Cricetulus griseus: one gene and its partner. The protein of the gene in region 1 purifies or fractionates together with the protein of each later gene. This does not show direct contact. Links are inferred from orthologs where the notes say so. Each region holds a gene or a part of one and is shown in the gene's direction. Other genes may lie near its edges.

Region 1 (10,109 bases):
AGCACTTCTAAATAATTCCCCCATTTGCAAGAATTTGTTCTGTATAAGTGATGAATATTTTAATAGCTTAAAATGTTTAAATAGTTTAAGATTATCTTTATTGGATTGCATTCTTGGTTTTTCTGGTTCTTTGCATATGTAACAAATGATGTCAGTCACTGACTGCTGCATCCTAGCAAGATGCTGAATTTTGTTTGCGTCTGAAGACCTTGAGATAACTTTAGACAGTTCAGGAGTTTTGTGGAAAGTAATTACTCATAGGGCATTCATTTTTTGGGGAGAATGTGATTGCTTTTCATCTCTCTTGTCCACAGTGAAGTTGTAGGTAGGTACTGCTGTGGTAGGACAGAAATATATATGCTAGTTTTGGATTTTTAACTTTAGCCTCAATCTCAGATATTCAAGACTGTTTCTTATGCTTTGGACATGGTGTTTCAAATCCAATTCTTAAATTTATTTACTTATTTATTTATTTATGTAATTGTATTATATGCATAAATCCAAGAATTAGGCCAGAACCAAACATCTTGTTGCCGTTTAGTGTTTTAAGACAAGAGTTAACAACAGCATTCAAGTTCCAGTCATGATGCTCTCTCAGGGTCCAGGCTAGGGGCTAGCAGACAGCAGGTGGGTAGGGTTTTTGTAAAAGGAGTCTGAGGGTGAGAGGGAGATAAACCGGCTCACACATGCGTTTCTCTCATGGTTCTCTATTCTTCAAAGATGGAGGCTTCCCCAAAAAGTTCTCTCTCAAAAGCTCTCTTTAAGACTTCTGTTTAAAAACTTTCTCCTCCAAAGTTCTTAAAAATTGTTCAAAGTTCTTTCTAAAAAGTCTTCCAGAAGTTTCTTTTAAAAGTTCTCCTGAGGTCTCTTTTATTTCACAAGACTTCTAATTTTGACAATTTTCTGACAATAAAACATGCATATCTCTTAGAGCCAGGAAGGCGGGTAGGATCTTGAGAAAAGCCGGTGTCTTACATCTCTTCTCCTGGACGTGACTTGCAAAACGTCCTGGCAAACTTAAGTCTTGGGGCATGTGACTTGCAATACATGCTGTTAATTCATTAAAGGGGGCTTCTCAGTGCTATATATCAAAGGGAAAACTACGTTTACATAGTGTGAGATCTGAGGCTGCAGCGCTTACTGTGACACCCCGGTGAGAAGGATTCCTTTCTCTGGGGTCTATTTGAGAATACAATGCACCCAGTATATATTCTATATACAACCAAATTCATAGTAACAAATATTCTGGAGCTGATACCTAGAATGTTAATCGCTACTTCTGTAATAAGTGATAAAGGATTCTAACAAATGTAACCAAGGCTGACCCTGGAACTCACTATGTAGCTCATGCTGGCCTTCACCTGGAGGTCTGCTGACTCTGTCTGCAGAGCACGAAGAATACAAGCCTGTGCTTCATTCCTTGCTCTGAATTTTCTGACTGATAAACCAGAGCATGATAATGTTATAAGAAGGCATGTCATAATGTGTTAATGAAAGTTATATGCAGGAAGTAATATTGCTGGATTGGAGTAAATGCAGCTAGCTTAGGGTGAGTGCTCCCTTAGAGTGTGTGAGGGCCTGTGTTTGAGCTCAGTACTGGATGAGTGGAGTAATGTGGACATGTTTGTTTGAGTCAGTCTTGCTGTGTAGCACTTGCAAGGCTTTGAATTTAGATCTTCTGACAGTCCCTGGACTGCCGAGATTATAGGCTGACACCATAGAAACGCTTTCATGGCATCTCTATGGTAAATCCAGCCATTTGCCCTCAAGACAAGTGAGCTGGCATTGAGAAAACTTAACAAATTACTGTTTTGGATAACTATATCATAAATCAGGTTACAATTTTATGTTCGTCAGCGACTGTAGTAGTTTATGGGCAAAAACAACCCAAGGAAGCTGTCGTTGTAGCTAATAATAGAATGCATATACAGGTTACTAATTTAGGAACTTTTCATTAGAGTCCTGACCTAAGAAAGAATATTGTGCTAACAGGAGTCAGTTTTGTGCTGTGCATGAGCAACTGGTGATCGTCTGTTCCTTTATTCATTGTTCATTCAGTGTTTTAGTACATCATGCACTGTGCTAGACTCTGGGAAACAGTGGTGAAACTTTAAGTCAGTCTAGTTCTGAGTGATGTGAAGAAGGTAAGGTTGCTGGAAAATATTCCATATGACTTAGTTAAATTTTAAAAGTAATTGCTGATTTAATTAAGAATGATACAGTTAGAAAACCAAAAGTAGCTGTTTTTCCTCATTCGTTACTTCTGTTTCTGGAAGCCAACTATATTAGTCTTTTTTTGAGATAGTGTGTCTCTGTAGTCCCATCTGTCCTGGAGCTCAGTATGTAGACTAGGCTGGCCTCAAACTCAGAGAGTCTCCTGAGTGCTAGGATTAAAGGCATGTGCCATCACTGTCTTTAGTTATTTTAAAGCCACCCTAACAAATGACCACAGCCATAGGGGCTTTAAGCAAGAAAGAATTCTCTCAGTTTTGGAGGTCAGAGTTAGGAGATGTAGTTGTGTTGTTTTTCCCAAGGCTCTAAGGGAGAATCTGTTTATAGCCCCCTGGTTTTGGGTTGTTTGATTTCTTAGCTTCTGGCTGCATCTGCCCACATACATGTCCTCATTGCTCACCACCCATGCCCATCTGCTGCACAGCTGATCTTGGGCCTCTTTGCTCTAAGGTTGCAGTTCCCACAGGGTTTCTTATTTTATGAATCTAATATTGTTTGTTAAATCCTTGAGGCTTTTTGAAACTCCTTTATCTATATAATACATTTCCTCAGAGGTCTTGTTTTATCTTCTTTCCGTCTCTTCTATGTTGGATGTAGCAAGAATTGTAGCGCATATTTTAAACCCACACATACTGAAGTATTTTTCTTTTTTGGTTTTCAAGGCAGAGTTTCTCTCTGCAGCTCTGGATGTGCTGGAACTCATTCTGTAGTTCAGGCTGGCCTCAGAAGCTCAGAGATCCACCTGCCTCTGCCTCCCAAAGTGCTGAGATGAAAGTCTGGCTATTCTTGACATTTTAAAAGGAATTTAGAATTTGTTTGATTCTCTGATTCGTTTTGGTCACGAGCAATGAAATATAAGATTTGCCCCTTGAAGAGCTCAGATTGGAGCTTGGAACTGAAAGATGCCAAAGGTGTTCCCCTTGTGCACTCACAGACAGCACCTGTATAAGATGAAGCCAGTTAGCATTCCAGCGCCAAGTGGAGAGGTCTCATGAAAGTCCCTCCACCCCCCAGTTGAGGAGCAACTGATGGCTGCAGGGGAGATTGGTGTGTGTGACCACTGGTAGGTTGCCTCTCACACCCAAGTGCATACAGGCCACACACTAGCTAGACACAGTGGGCTAATATTCCCCCCCCCCCCCGAGTGAGTGTGTGTGTGTGTGTGTATTGGGGGTGGGGGACTGAAGTGAGAGGAGAAGGGTTGGGAAGTTTGGGTTGGATATGATCAAGTTACAGTGTATCTATGTTATAAAGTTATCAAATAAATAAAAGTATCCCCAAAACATTAAAAAGTTGAAGACCTTTAGTCAGGAGACAAATTATTCCAAATGAAAGATGGTCAGACTTGGGGGCTAAAATCCTGGCAAAGATAATAGAGGAGGTGACACATGTGAGGAAGATTTAAAGCAGAACTGAGAAGAAAATAAATTATCTGCTTATAGCCGGATTATTTGTACTCTGATAAATCACTTGCCTTAAAGTGGGGTGCACGAGGAAGGTGGCTGATGATGCCAGCTCCTGACCACATGGAAAGAGGGAAGGAGTGGAAGAAAAAAGTGTAGGTTTCATGGCTGCAACACCAGAGACATAGTATTCTTTTCTCCCGAAGTTCTTTTTCTCCTCCATAAATCCTGGTCTAACTAAGCACCATGGAATGAACATTCTGAATATTTCTGTATCTGTACTGTCCAGCATAGTAATCAGGCCACCATCGAAAATTGATCTGTGCTGTAAAAACACATTGGGTTTTTAAAAACAGTATTAGTGGAAACAATATCTCAGCTTTTAAACAAATATCTATTATGGGACAGTTTTTGGTTATATTGGGTTAAATCCAATATTTAAAAATAAATTTCACTTTGTTGTTTCCTCAAGGCTAGATTTGTGGTTGGCATTAAGGTTGTATATTTCTCTTGTGTAATCCTGAAGAATAAGGTCTTACATATTTTAATATTTAGTGAGATTGAGCCAAACAAGTATGAGAGAACAGTCATATTTAAACATTTTAAATATCCGCTCCAAGGTACTGTAATGGGTTGAATTTTGGTATTACAGAATTTCAACTAGAAATGTGTTGTTTAGGAGATACCTGAGTGAAGCCTATGGGAACCTAAGGTTGTTGAGTAGTGTGGCAGTATGGGCTGCTTTCCTACTCACTCCCCAGGATCTTCCACTCTTGTTTTTGAGGTTTATTTCTTTTCTTTTATGTGTCTGGATGTTTTGTTTGCATGTATGTCTTTGCACCACATGCATGCTGTAATTGCAGAGATCAGAAGGTGTTGGATTCCTTGGAACTGGAGTTACAGATGATTGTGAGCTGGTGCTGGAAATAAACCCAAGTCCTAGAAGAGCAGCCAGTGTGCTTGAGCCCCTTTTTCACTATTAAGATTTTAACCCGACACAGGTTTTAATTACAGATTTAGAGACTGTCCTCGGCCCCTCCCACCTCCGATCCTCACCCTCTTGGTGCTGGAAATAGAGTAATTTTGCAGCCATTAAGGCTTCTGCTAGCAGTGGCATTTAAAATAAAACCTATCCTTAAAATTGTATTTCCCTTCATATTTTTTATTATCTTTTATTGAGCATAAGCTCAAGGGAGCCATTTCTTAATTTTGTTTTTGTTCCAACTTGTCAAAGTTTTCTTAATGACATTTTTTGAGAAAATTAGTTCTGTTACTTATGTGAAATGCCCTTTTACTATATAAATTTTTCCATATAGTTGAGTCTGTTTCTGAGTCTTAAGAATGTTATAGTGAATGAATTTCTGCATTAAATAGCCACATGGTGGCTCACAGCCATCCATTATGAGATCTGGTGCCCTCTTCTGGTGTGCAGATATACATGGAAGCAGAATGTTATATACATAATAAACAAACAAACAAATAAATCTTTAAAAAAATAAATAGCTTAAGGTTCAGCATCAAGTGAAATTACAGTAAGTGCTCTGAGCATGAAATATTTGCATACTTGTTTTTCATCTAATGAGTTTGAGGGAAGACAGTACCAGTGGATCATTTCTGACTGCTTGTGTTTTAGGTGGTCTGTAAATCGGATGCTCCAACAGGGGATGTTCTTCTTGATGAAGCTCTAAAGCATGTTAAGGAGACTCAGCCTCCAGAGACAGTCCAGAACTGGATTGAGTTACTTAGCGGTAAGCTGATGTATTAAACGGTAATCATGAAATTCTGCTTAGAGAAGTTTTTAATTATGGAAAATGGTAGCGGAGTGATAATTAAAAAAAATTATCTCCTTTTACATGAGAGAGCAGATACTAAATGAGATGGAATGTTCTTCCTTCAAGCTCTCATCTGTTGTTTGAGTCAAGGTCTCATTGCTTTGTAGTCATGGCTGAGCTACTGACTCAGATCCACCTGCCTTTGCCTCCTAAGTGCTGGGATTAAAGCTTGCACCACCATGCCTGTTGCCATCATTCTTTATCAGAATCATTGTTACAGTTTACTGCTTACAGAGTGGGCCAAGCTGTGAGGATGTCTTTATAAACTATAAGCTATTTCTTGATCTTATGTATACCAGGGGCTCATTGGGCTTTGTCCAGTCTGGCGGTCAGTGTCTTGGATCACTGGATATCCTTTGACAGTGCGTGTATCCAAACAAGTATTGTCCTAAGGGGTTGGGTTAATAGGTTAAGGTGGTTTTACTTAACTAATTAACGTTGTATGGTTGCTTACTAAATCTTACTACTGTGAGTGCTGACTGAATTTGGTTTTCAACTTGAGCTCACTAGAGCATTGAAAAATTCTATACACTTTCCCCCAATACAGTAGGATGGATGTTCATTGGATTAGGTCAGAATCCATGAGGAAAATATTTAGACAATGCCTCATGTTTTTAGATTGTCTATAAATGCCAGAGTGTTGTGTTTAGCACATTTTATTATCAGGAATATATTAGTAGTGAACTGCCATGTTGACATGAAAAAAGGGAAGAGAAAACAAAGCACATTGTTAGTATAGGAACGGTGGTTCTGGTTGGAGCTTAGTGATGGAATGCTTGGTTCCATGTGCAAGGCTTAGGGGAAAACAGTCACGTGCACCCTATTGAGCAAATGGACCAGATTTCAGCTGGCTGGCTAATAACTTTGAGTTTTTAAATACGTTTTATTTATTTTATTTTGGTTTTTCGAGACAGGATTTCTCTGTGGCTTTGGAGGCTGTCCTAGAACTGGCTCTTGCAGACCAGGTTGGTCTCGAACTCACAGAGATCCGCCTGCCTCTGCCTCCCAAGTGCTGGGATTAAAGGCGTGTGCCCCTACTGCCCAGCTAATATGTTCTTTTAGAGAGAAGCAGTGCGCGCACACATGTTAGAGAGAGAGGGAGGGAGGGAGGGAGTGGATGTGGCGGGGGAGTGAGTGTGCCCTGGCACAGGGTAGAGGTCATAGGACAACATGCAAGAGTTAGTTCTCATCATTTGAGCCGTGGGGTAGGTTGAGATGGTAATGCTTGGCTGCAAGTGGCTTTGCTCGCTGAGCCATCAAGCTGCTTTCCTGTATTTTAAGTATGTAGGTCTGTGGACAGTTTGGTGGTGGGAACATTTTTTTTTTTTTCCTTTTCAAATTTCAGTTGTTTCAAAGTGGTCCACATCAGAGTTATAGTCCTAAAAGATTTAGAATGTGCAAAACCCTGGATTTGACACCTACCCTGCACTGTAGAAGTATGAGCTACAGAAAAGTATGTGGTGTACTGTGTGAATGCCAGTGTTGCATGGTACTGACATAGATGCTATGAACTTATTACACAGAGACAGTTAAATTATGTCCAATAATTTAATACTCATAGCTCTCTAAAAGTTTGGTTAAGGGAAAAATAGGAAGTAGAGTTTGGATTAGACCTTTAAAAGGCAAAAATTCTACACACAAAAGAAAATGTACCTTTTCAGAAGATTAGAGTGGGCCAGTGAGAAGGCTCAGCAGATAAACAGGCACTTGCTGCCATGCCTGGTTCCCTGAGATAGTCAAGATGTCATCTGAAGTGTGACAGACTGTTAGAACACAGTTGTGTTGCACTTCAGTTCTGTGGAAATATAAGTGTATTCAGACAGTAATAATGAATTAGCTAGTGTTGCTAGGAGAAAGTGTTTCTTTGACATCATATAGATTACTGTATGCATAGTTTATGGCAGAGTTAAAGTGTAGATTTTTAAGTATTTATATAAATGTGGCTATCATCTTCTGTTGTATTAGCTTGTATTCTCCAAAGTTAGCTAATACATGTCTGATTTTAGGTTAGGGTTGTTTGCTTTCCTGACACTGGCATTAGGAAACGATAAAATCCAAAACCCAAGCTGTCAGGTGATGAGTAGGCACTTTGGGAGATGACAGATTGAGTTAAAAGTTGGAAGTTACAAGAACCTTTGAAAGAAGGTCATCACTGCTGTGCACTTGTGCTGTTTCTTCTGTTCTTAAATGTTTATTCTTTCTGGAAGACTAGATGTAGCTTGAGTGCCCCTTCCCCCGTAACTTTCTTAGAGATAACCCTTATTAATCATTTCTAATGCCTCATTTTGTTCTTAGGGCCCCATTCCCATTTTATTCTAGCCAGTAAATTATGAAGGTTTCTTTTCACTTAATTGTAATTCCTAAAAGGTTAGAAATAAGTCTTAATGTTTATATTCTTGGTACTATGATTCCCAAGAACATTGTAAATACTACCTTATGAAGTAGTGTGTGTGCATGTTTGAGACCATAGGCGTTTGCAGAGACTGATTTGTTGTGACTTTTTATTTGAAATGTTTTTCTTTAAATGAACAAAATGGCCTTGCTTATTAGTAATTCACAGTACCAACCTTTTATCATATTCATTAAGTCCTTTTCCAAAGTAAATTGCAACATTTTAATGATTCTTGCATGGACCAATGAGATGACTCAGAGTTAAAGGTACTTGCTGCCAGGCCTGATAACCCAATGGAAAGAAAGAACGGACTCCTGCAAGCTGTCCTCTGATCTCCGCATTTGTGGCATGAGTCACGTACATGTGTACACACATACATGCCAAATAATGTAATAAAAGCCTGTCTCAGATAATTCTTTCTAAAAGGTAGTTCCTATTTTGTGCTCATTTCCTTTAAATTGCATAGGTGTTATACTAGCTCTCTTTAAAATCCTTGTTTGCTGATTATCATTTTGTTATTTTTTGTTCATAGTTGATTTGGTTGGCTATTTCCATTCCCCATTAGTTTTGGGACACATTTTGTTCTTTGTAAATCTAATGTGTTACTGTTTTAAAATTGAACACTCAGCATTGTGAATATAAAATTCTGAACTTGCTGTCTTTGTTTAAAGAGTGTTTGATTTTTAGGGTGCCTGCCTAGAATATGGGAGGTCCTGAATTCAATCTCCGTATTGTCTCTCTTCCTCTGGGGTGGGGGGACTGTTGGCTTTTCCTTTGGTAGACAGACATTTAAGTGACTTGTGGATCATGCTTTAAAGCTTGGATAGTACAGGCCAGAGTAGTTTTCGCTTGAGACTAGTTCAGCCTTGTTCCTAAAGTGTGGTCTTTCCTGGTCCTCTTGTGTCTCAGACAGTCCATAAGTGTTCCCCTTAGGCTAGTTGGTATACAGGTTTTACTCACCTCTCTGAAAACTCTTGGCATCGTCTAACTTTTTGGTATTTGTCTTTTTGCTTAGCTTTGCAGTTTCTCGATTCAACTTGTGTGGCTTAGTTTTCCGAGACTTGAGAATATGGTGCAGGTCTCTAGACCTTCTGTACTCTGCCTTGTATCTTTCAGCTGCTTTAGCCATCTTGATCTCTGACCACAGACTTGGGTGGGGTGACTGAGTTAGGGTGACCGCTGTGCTGTGCGTTTTTGTTACTTTGGATATACTAGGGAGTGTAGTTGGGACAATTCTGAAACTCAATAGGTTTTGCCCGAAAGTCTCATTTTGGAATGCTTTATGACCAGTATCTGAAAATTATTTTCCCCATATTTCTAAAACAAGGATTGTTTTGCTGTCCAGGTAGTCTTTTAATTTTTATTTTATGTATGTGTCCCTGACTGTATGTGTGTATACCAGGTGCCTGGAAAAGGTCATAAGGCATTGCCCCCCCACCCCCCCCCACCCCCGGAATTTGGAGTTAAAGCTGGCTGTGAGGCACCTGACGTGGATGCTGGGATCAAACTCCCGGCCCTGTGTGAGCATCATGTACGCTTAAGTGTTACTGAGCTCCTGCCAAGGATAATTTTTTACTGTTAGGTGACAATAAAATAGTTTCTGTGGCCATCTGAACAGAAATTCATTCCAGGTGCCACAGTTCACTAGTCCTTCCTGTGATAACAGTGTTCTGTGCTGCCTAGTGAGTAACTAATAGGCCAGCTACTTACGACTTTTCATACTTAAAATGTGGCTTGTAGAGCTGAGGGACTGAAATTTTAAATAGCTCCATGTTACTCTCCATGTTACAGCTTTAGTAATGTAGATTCTCTTAGTGTTCTAAAACTTCACAGCCTTAGAGTCTATGCCGAAGGAAGGGGTTTGGGGTTGGTTTTTAATGGGTTGTGGTTTAGAAAAGTCCTTTGATGTTTTGTTTTTCCCCCAAACTGCAAAAGTAGTTCTGTGTTCATTGGTGATCTTTGGAAAATACAGTTAAACTTGTTACATATAATCTGAAAGTTAGTCAAAGTTACTAATATTTTTGCTTCTTACCAAATTTTGTAAAGGGCTTTTTTTTTTTTGTGGGGGGGGGATAGGGTTTCTATATATAGCCCTAGCTCTCCTGGAATTCACTTCTGTAGATGAGGCTGTAGATTAATGGCATGTACCACCATGCTAAGCTGAAAATTATTTTTAATGGGAAATGCTTAGTTTAACCAAGTATTTGTCTTAAAAGGAAGTGATTTTAGGTGACAGACTTAAGAACTAAA
Region 2 (10,109 bases), on another chromosome or scaffold:
CAGGAATGAAATGCTTATTTCAGTTCATGGTTTCAGGGGTTTATTGACTTCATTGCTTTTGGGCCTGTGATGAGGCAGAATCATCATTGCTGGGAGCACATTCAGAGCAAAGATGCCAGCCTTGTGGCATCTGGGAACCAGAGAACCAAAAAAAAAAAAAGGCCAGGATCCCCAAATCTTCATCAAAAATGTACACCAGTAATGTGACACTGGGCCCCAGCTCCTGAAGACTTCTTCACATCTCATAGTGCTGCAGGCTGGCAGTTAATACCTTAGCAGATGAGCCTGGTGACTGGGGTGGGAGGGCTTGGGATCCAAATATCCTGAACTGAATCTCCCAAAGGCCTCACCTCTTACAGCCTTGCACTGGGGATTAAGTTGCAACAAGAACTTGGGGGCAGCAAAAATATTCAAAGGATAGCAGCTGCTTTGCCTGCACTGTCGTCAGGGCTAGTAGATTCTCCAGTCATTAAAGGAAGTTTTAGGAAAAGAATGGAAGGGCCCGGGTGGTGGTAGTACAGGCCTTTAACTCCAGCACTTGGGCAGAGGCAGGCAGATCTCTGTAAGTTTGAGGCCAGCCTGGTCTACAGAGCAAGTTCTAGAACAGCCAGGACTACACAGAAACAAAAAGAATGAGAGGGTGATCATTTTCCCAGAGTCACCATTCCTTTCCTAATGGAATGCTATTTTTATATCTGCTATGAGCTGATTCTGTCTCAACCTCTGAAAGCTCCTGGGCAGTTTTTCTGGTTTGAAGCTGCCAGCAGGTTTGCTTACAGGAATAAGGTTTTAATGATTCCAGAAGTAATATACACCTGGCTTTTGGAGGAAGTATCAGGGAGAGCCTTTTAAACGTTGTATAGGCTTAGGATTTCTGCATTCTCCCTTTGCACTGGGAACTCAAAGTGTGTACCACAGCATCTTACGGCATCTTGACAGGAAAAGGGTCCTTGTTACATGAGTTTATTTGCTATTTGATACTTTAGTTCAGGCTGTTAATGATCCTGTGTCTAATTAGTTATGCCTGGCTTATTTTTAATTTAAATGATTTGAGCTGTTGGAGCATGAAATTATCTAGGATCACAGTTGGGTTTTTACAGAATGTGCTCTTGCTTTGATGCTGAGAAGGGAACAAACACTTGGACCTAATTTACTGTCTTAATTTAATTTTCAGCTTTGGGAACCCCTCGCTGGATGAGAGAAGCATTCTTGCCCCTCTCTATCAGTGTTGCATGTAAGTTAATGCATAGCAGGTGTGTCTGCCTGCATTACCTCCTTCAGGTTCAGGTACCAGTACATCGGTTTTCTTGACCTTAAAACATCCGGGTTGCTTTTCCTACTTCTATAACCCAGAACCCCTGTAAAGCCTGACAGTGCTGAGGGAAGCACAGAGGTAGGTCACCCAAAGCTCGGAATTCATTTTGAATTTTGCATCAGTAAGTTTGTAGTATCTATAGTAATACATGCCTGTTTGGCTTAATATACCTATCACCTGCTAAAAACAATCTAGCTGGGCTTCATCCCCAGCACCTAAGATGCAAAAGCAGGTGGATCTCTGTGAGTTTAAGGCTACCCAGGACTACATAGTGGGTTCTAGGCCAGCCAGGACTACATAGTGAGACAATCTCAAAAAAATTGGTTTGCTTTTTTTAAATCGGTTACAATCTGCATTCTTCGTTGCTGCATCTGGTTTACCTTGTTTCAGACCCTCCCACCTGGAGTTTGTATGTCTTAGTTTGAAGTTATCTAATCCAAAAATAACTTCCTCTAAGTATTTAAAGAGTGATTTAAATATAGTAGAGATTAAAGAAACTGAGAAGTAAATCAAGAAAATGAAATAAAACCTGGCCCTAGGAGCTCCTGCTTCAGGTCCCAGCTCCTGGGCTGATTTTGAAGTTTGCATATCAAGAACCAGCAGGATTTGCCTCACTGGCTGCAGAAAGCAGGTCTGGGAACACCCTAGTGCTAGTCATCCCAGAAACAGCCCCTGTGACTTTGCCTTCTTTCTGTCTTTTCACTTGTCTTATCTGTCTGTCTGTGTTTTTCCAGTGCTGGAACTAAATTCAGAATCTTGTGCCTGCTAAGCAAGTACTTTACCACTGAAGTATACACCAGTGTCCCCCACCACATGCGCGCGCGCACACACACACACACACACACACACACACATACACACACACACTTCTGCTATTGTATGTGTGAACATAGGCATATGTGTGCATATATGTGTGTAGGTTTGAGGACAGTCTTGGTGTCATCCTCAGGAACAGCACACCCTTTTTTTTTTTTTTTTTTTTTTTTTTTAAGAAAAGGTCTTTTATTGCCCTGGAACTTACCTGGCTTGCCATTAAGCCCTGGGGGTCCTTGTGTCTCCATTTCCCTGACTCTGTGTTTACAAGTATGTACTGCTCTACATGAATCATAGGGGTCACACTCAAGTCCTTATGGTTGCAGACCACTTTACAGACTCAGCTCTTCAGCCCAACTGTCTCCACCCTTTCCTGTCATTCCCCTCCTTCCCTAGCTCTTCCCCCTGGTCCTTCCTTATTTTCTTTCACACTGCCCTCAGAATCCCAGAATCCTTGCCTCAGTCTCCCAAGTACTGGGATTATATACAAGTCTGTGCCACTGTGCTCAGCCTTTTCTTTCTCAGTAGGAAACTGAGTTCTTTAGAAAGTCATATGTACCTGGGCCGCCCTCATTCTCCTTACTAATGTGGAAAGCTGAGAGCAGGTGGGATACAGGCAGTCAGCAGCTGATGTCATGATCTGCAGAGGAAGAGATGACTCTGGGAAGCCTCTGAGCCACCTTCAGGACACATTTATAGGCCCACAGAGTGAATCAGATTGGTGATGCCATACTGGTCCCTATGTCAGGAAAGCCTCAGTGCTGTCATCCCAGCGCTTAGGGGTGGGAGGGGAGGTGGGGGGAGTAGGAGAAGTATCGTTTTGAGCTGTTTAGCAAATCCAGTCTTCTGGACTACATGAGACCCTGTCTGAAAAAGGGACCTCAGGGAAGTGATCAGATGAGGCTGCAGCTTCATGGGTTTGCATCTTCTGAGAATACAGCTGAGGCAGAGCTTTGTTGGAGACCTCCTTCCTGTACCACTAAACTACTTACCCTACAATAGCCAGAGGCACTGAGAGAGCCCCTTCCTGCTGCACTGTCCCTCTTCTGGTTTATGAGGAGACACTATTGAGAATATGAGAAGCAAATACTGGAGTGTGAAGTTGGTGTGGGTCAATCAAGTAGCAGCTCTGTTACCCTGGAGAAGCTCTGATGCCTGTGCATCTACAGTAGAGTTCAGAGTCACAATGCTGTCCAGTGCATGTAGTCCATCTCTTCTGTGCTTTGTACAAAGACTCATCTTCCTTACTTTAAGTAGCTGCAAAAGAGTCTACTTCTCTCAAAGTAAGACACGTATGCATGCCTGCTTACCTCTCCTGTGTCCACATTCTGCCTAGTTACCTCTCCTGTGTCCACAGAGAGGTAAGAACTTATCTTGAGATAAATCACTTCTCTTTGGTCACTTATTCTATTTCATTCTGCTATAACAGAAAGTCACAAACCAAGGCATTTCCTTTAAATGTATTTTATTTTATTTTTATTATGTGTGTTTGTATGCATTGTGTGTAGGCATGGGCTTGTGTACCAGTGTATGAGTGGAGGTCAGAGGACAGTTTAGGCACTTGACTCCTTCCATCCGCCTTAAATGGTCTCCAGGGATGATACTCTGGTCACCTAATATCAAAACCCTGGCACCCTGAAAGAGCTCTTTAAAAAAAAAAAAAAAAAAAAGATTTTATTTATTTATTATGTATACAACATTCTGCTTCAATGTATATCTGCACACCAGAAGAGGGCACCAGATCTCATAACGGATGGCTGTGAGCCACCATGTGGTTGCTGGGAATTGAACTCAGGATCTCTGAAAGAGCATCCAATGCTCTTAACCTCTGAGCCATCTCTCCAGCCCCTGAAAGAGTTCTTACTGTGTTACTCCTTGACAAGAGATGGAATTGCAGAGGGCAGCATCAGCATCACCTCTGCCCACATGAACTGGTTGAATCTTTAGAATACTGTTCCAGTGGCAACTGCTTTCTCACATGAGTGTTACTGGGGATAAATACCTAAACCATAGCAATTAGTGAAATAACTTAGGGAATTATGTCTGTGCGTCTGTCTTTGTGTCTGTCTGTGGTACTATGTGTTCCTGAATGCAGTGCCTGCAGCAGCCAGAAGAAAACATTGGTTCCCCTGAAGCTTGAGTTACAGGCCACTGTGCACAGCTCAGAAAACTGAACATGGAAACTGAACATGGGTCCTCCCTCTCCAAGAGCAATAAATGCTCTTAATTGCTGAGCCACTTCCATCTCCAAGAAAGTAGTTTTTTTGTTTTTTGTTTTTGTTTTTGTTTTTGTTTTTTTTTCCAGTGGTAGTGGGTGGGGTTTTGAGACAGGGTTTCTGTGTGTATCCCTGGCTGTACTGGAACCTGCCCTGTAGACCAGCCTGGACTTGAACTCACAGAGATCTGTCTTCATATATATATATATGAAGTATATATATATACTCATTCTTAGAGTAAATATTTTTCTATTATTAATGGTTGAATTTTTAAAATTCAGAAATTGAGCATCTGAGGATAGTTCCTGTTAACACAGTGAACTTCATTCTACATTCTAACCCTGCAGTTCCGTTGCTCTAATCATACACGTTAGTTTCCCTACAGATGTGGAATAGAAGTTTTCCTCTCCAATTTTCTCAACTCTAACATAATTATCATGGACATTTCCCCATGCCACTCGGTTTTCAAACCTTTTTAATGGCTGCATGATATTTCCCTAGTGGATTGGCCATAATTTGAAGTATTTCTTGCTTGTTAGACATTTAGATTGGTTCAGTTTTCCTCTTACTGCAATGAATATGTATAAATCTTTGTATATATCTCCTTTGTTTGTTTGTTTGTTTGTTTGTTGAGACCAGATTTCTCTGTGTAACAGCCCTGGCTGTCCTAGAACTCACTCTGTAGACCAGGCTGGCCTTGAACTCACAGAGCTCTGCCTTCCTCTGCCTCCTAAACTGCCCAGCTTTTGTAGATATTTCTAATTACTCCCCAAAATTTACAACATGGCAGTGCAGCTTACTTTTAATAAAGAGGTAAGTCTGAAATAGAAGTGATTTTTTTTCTTTTAGTTGAAATATTTTACACAATTTTTAAAAAAACTTTTCTGCTATCCAAGCTTTATACAGAATTTGATAGAAAGATGTTATGTAACTTCTTTTAAAACTTTTTCTTTCAGCATTCGGGTTTCAACCTGGAATAGACTGAACTACCTAAAGAATGGAGTGCTAAAGTCTGCCTTAAAATCTGCCATGGCCCATGACCCCATCTCCCCTGTGCTCTCTGATCCACACTTGGACACTGTGGACCAGCGGCTTCTGAATGTCCTTGCCACTGTCAAGCAGTGTACTGACCAGTTTGGGATGGACACTGTGCTGGTGGAAGACAGGATGCCGCTCTCCCACTTGTAACTCTCAACGTGAAACAGGTGGAACTGGTTTATACGAAGATAGAGAAACAGCACAATCAATTCCAAGTGGCATGTGATGGCCTGGAAGTGGCCAGCAGCGGGTATTGGTGGTGCTGGGAGTGCTTGGTGTTTACTGCAGTGTCGGCATGGGAGCTTGTCTGTGGAGTCACCTGGCATCCACAGCAGTGGCCTATTCAGGCAGCAGGCTCCATCTCTGGTCAGTCTTATTCCCACAAAAAGGACAAACAGGTGTGACACTGGCTAAGCAGTTTGGTTCCAGAGTTTGTGTCTGGGGTGGAGCATGCCATCTTTTCTCCACACCCATAGATTCTGTAGATTGACTTTGCAGTCCCTTGTGTCTTTAAAAACAAACAACAAACAAAGGCAGAACTAGTCAGATTATAAAATGTCCTGCTCCTCCAGAGTGGCATCAGACAAAAGAGCACAGGCTGCTGGAGGAGACCCATTTTAAGGTAGATGGAGGAAGGGAAGGTCAGGTCAGGAAGGTGTTGGGGCTCGTAGCTATTGAGTGCTATGGATTTGACATCTCAGGGAAGAGAAGAGGGAGGGACTCACTCTGTAGAACCAGGAGGATGATTGCCTTAGTGAAAATCAGCTTCCCCTGTGTTTAGGTTCTTAAATGTGTCCAAAGCAAACACTCACCCTCTAGTCCTGTTCAAATAAACCAAAACTGTCTACAGAGGAAATAGGATTACAACCCAAGCATACTCCCTGCCAGGCACTGACTTACCCTCTAAGTAGCAAAACAAGCTGAAATAATACAAGTTTGGTACCTGTGATCTCTGTCATCCTCACCTTCCCCACACACACACACACACCTTGTTGGTATTGTTTATTTTGAGGTAGACTATAGGCTCTTACTCTAGCCCATGCTGGTCTGGAATTTAGTATATAATCAGGCTAGCTTTGAACTGGCAGCAATCCTCCTGCCTCAGCCTTCCACATGCTAGGATTATTAGTATGAGCAACCATACTCACCTCTCGTTTCTCTTCTAAGGTGTAAGGCATTTAATCAGCGATGCTGCTGTCATGAGGTTAATGGCCTTGTTTGTGCCTTCTTATTAGAAAGCGTCCTGCTGGTTGCTGGACTGAGCTTGTGATGTAGGCCCTGCAGGTAGCAGAGAAAAAGATTTTAAGCCTTCTGAGCCTTGAAACTGAGACTACCATGAAGAGCCTTAATATTTTGGTTCATATTGGAGTTTTGAACCCATGGTGTAGTTAGTAGAATTCATCTCCTTGCAGCATTGTCAAGTTTAGGCTTAGTTGTGTGTTCTGGCAAAGTCACTTGACATGGAAGCAGCTGGTGGTAAATTACAGGGCTCGGGACGGTGTCCACACACGGAGCTGTGTGTTCCCTCTGCCTCTTGTCCAGTTCTGGACTTCTGTCAAGACCAGCCTTTCAGTGCCATGCTTGACATTTAGTGCCAGCCATGGAGCCTGGATTGAGCAACTACCTTCTGAGTTTAAGCCCTCAGGTTTCTCACACTTGGCAAGGTTGGCAGGGCAGGGAGGCGGCCATAAGCTTCTAGCTCCAAATTTATAGACACAAAAGTTGTGTTGGAGAAAAAAGGAGAGGCACGTTTTTAAAAAGTGTTGTAACTCTGGCCTCTTTCCAGGTCATTTATGAGAGTTAGGGCTGTTATAATCAAGCCACCAGAGGGAGCTAGGTCTGCTCTAAATTACATTTGCCAACTGAACACTGAATACATGGACATATTTACTACAAAACCAAGAAACTGGAACCTATTGCAGTTTCCTCATTTGCTCCCACTTCTTAAATATATGTATTCTGAAGTTGAAATGAGAAATTTAGGTATAGAATTTTTATTCTCAAACTGTTCCTTAGTCTCAGGCTGCACTGTGCTATAAATTCCTTTTAAAACAATGGGCTCTAATTTGCTGAAGATGGGTGGTATTTTTAAGGTATGTCTCCCTGTTTGCACTCAGGGTTAAAGTGTCAAGACTAAATTTTAAGAAGAAAATGGAAGGATTTGACTACATTTATTACAGATTATTTTAGCAAAGTGAATCCTGGCAGCTTTTCTTTTTTTCCCAGTGCTGGTGACAGAATTGCCATCCAAAGAATTTGTGTTTTCTTTGAAACACTCACACCTTGGCTCTGCATCTCCATGACCACACCCTTCAGCCTCCCTTCTCATTCCTCACTTGGTCTCTTTGACCAGCAATTGACCTTCTCTTGTGACCATAAGACAGCTTCGGTCAGCAAGCTCCCTTGTGCCTCTGATCTGGCTTTCAGGATGGTGGGTACAGGGCTTTTTGGGTCAGTATGGCCGTGTTGTATTCTGCCAAGGAACATAGATTTCCTTTGACACAAGGAAATACTGACTGACACTGAGAAAGGACTTGGCCAGTAAAGGTTAGCACGTTCACCAAGCATCTCCTGAGCAGTCTGCTGAGCCAGGTGACCTGACTGTGAAACTTGCTCCATGGGGGAGGCTGGCTTTTCTCCCCTGTATCTCTCTAGGCTGGGTGGTGAATGGGGACTGGGTACTGCACTGTCACGCGTTTTTAGGACCTACAGTGATCCTCAAACTATTGGGGGAGGCTGGGAATAACTTACTGGGAGATTAATTTATTTGTCTAAAGGGTGGTGTAGGCATCACTGCCCTCTTGTTTGATCTGCCTGGGATTTCCTCTTGGAGCTGTTGTACAGACAGAGGTTGTACTTGGTAAGACACCAAACAAATTTCTAATGTGTTCTATGGGTTTCAATTCTGAAAAAGAAATAATAAAGATTTTAATATATATTATTGTATCATGTTTTCCTGTTAATACTTTTTTTTTCTCCCCAGTGCTTCCTATTCCATTTTCCTACCTGTTTTTAAGGAACAAAACATTACATCCTTTGCCTCTACTTAAACTTCCATAGGGATTGCTTCCAGTGAGTGAGCGCCACAGACTTAGGCCCACACAGTCAGCTGTAGCGGACTTCAAAGTTGTCATAATCTTCAGGGTGTCCTGGATGTTTAATAGTTAGCTCCTTTCTCGAAGCTTCTTGTGAGATGAAGAACTATGAATCCTAAGTAGGACTTAGCAGAAACAAATTCCCCTGATTAGAATTCTTAGGATACTCAGAATTTTCATTTTTGAAATGGAAATCCAGTATCTTAAACCCTCAGCCAAGGGCTAGAGTGATGGCTCAGTGGTTAAGAGCACTGTCTGCTCTTCCAGAGGTCCTGAGTTCAATTCCCAGCAACCACATGGTGGCTCACAACCATTTGTAATGAGATCTGGTGCCCTCTTCTGGCTTGCAGGCATATGTGCAGGCAGAACACTGTATACATAATAAATTAAAAGTAAATAAACCCTCCACCAGACAAGCAGCTTAGATTTCCTCTTGGTTTGCTGCCAGCTCTTGTCTTTGTATTTGTCCATCACAATGGAGAGCAGGCCAAGACTGGTGTGTGTTCCTCCCTGACGTATCACGTTGTATTGTTGTGATTAGAACACCATGACCAAGGCAACAAGTTATCAGATAAGGGCCCATGGTGGAGAGGTAGAGGTGGCAGGAATGGTGGCTGGAGCAGAAGCTGTGGGCTCACCCCTTCAACCACAAGCATGAAGCAGAGCAAATTTGAAATGATAGGAGTCTTAAACTTTCTTTTTTTTTTCTTTTTGGTTTTTCGAGACAGGGTTTCTCTGTACAGCTTTGGAGCCTGTCCTGAAAGACACTCAGTAGACCAGACTGGCCTTGAACTCACAGATATCCGCCTGCCTCTGCCTCCCAAGCACTGGGATTAAAGGTGCACCACCACCCGGCTAAACTCTTCTTTTTTTAAGACAGAGTTTCTCTGTGTAGCAATGGCCACTCTGGAACTCTCTCTAGACCAGGCTGGCCTTGAACTCAGGACCACCTACCTCTGCCTCCCAAGTGCTGGGATTAAAGCCAGGGGCCACCACTGTATGACAGGTCTTTAACTCTTAACTCCTTCCTCCGGTCACAAGGCCATAGCTCCCAAACCTCCCAAACGTCACCATCAATTGCAGACCAAGTATTTGAATGCCCAAGACTGAGGGACAGTTCTCATTCAAATGGTCACATAGATCTTCCTGCACACGCCACAGGAGGACCCCTTCACTCCTCAGCACACGTATGGCTTTCATTTCTTAGAGCAGGCGGCGCGGGGGGGGGGGGGGCAGTATAAACCCCAGTATGCATCTGTGTCCTGAGCAATGCAACATGCCACCCAGATGTGACTGGCCCTTCATGTAAGAAGCCTCTAGAACAGGAGTTCTCACCCTTCCTGCTGACACCCTTTAATACAGTTCCTCTCAACAATGATGGAATAAAAGCTCCATGACTCCAGAATTGGGGAGCTGTGAACTCAAGATTCAGGACCACCAGGGCCTGCACTTCTGTCCCCTGCCTGAGGTCATTGTGTTGAGTGTACCCTCTCTTGAAAGAACAGTCACAGAGCACAGGGATCCCACAAGTGCCCTAGGCCACGGAGGTTGAACCTTTACCAGGTGAACTAGGACACATTCATCCTGGTGGTTTCAGGGTCTGTTTACCAAATTTATTTATTTGGAGATAAG

Evidence for each region.
Region 2: the proteins of Golph3 (region 1) and Fam20b purify together in Homo sapiens (affinity purification with mass spectrometry; 3 studies listed by BioGRID and IntAct, with this or other methods). This does not show direct contact. The link is inferred for Cricetulus griseus from reciprocal best matches to the Homo sapiens genes GOLPH3 and FAM20B.

Annotation. Positions count from the first base shown.
Region 1 is NC_048595.1:345,377,892-345,388,000, forward strand, and holds part of Golph3 (Golgi phosphoprotein 3), read left to right. Parts: intron 1-5,268; coding exon 5,269-5,383; intron 5,384-10,109. UniProt on the Homo sapiens protein: Phosphatidylinositol-4-phosphate-binding protein that links Golgi membranes to the cytoskeleton and may participate in the tensile force required for vesicle budding from the Golgi.
Region 2 is NC_048598.1:35,160,669-35,170,777, forward strand, and holds the end of Fam20b (glycosaminoglycan xylosylkinase), read left to right. Parts: intron 1-1,174; coding exon 1,175-1,234; intron 1,235-5,300; coding exon 5,301-5,532; 3' UTR 5,533-8,320; downstream 8,321-10,109. UniProt on the Homo sapiens protein: Responsible for the 2-O-phosphorylation of xylose in the glycosaminoglycan-protein linkage region of proteoglycans thereby regulating the amount of mature GAG chains.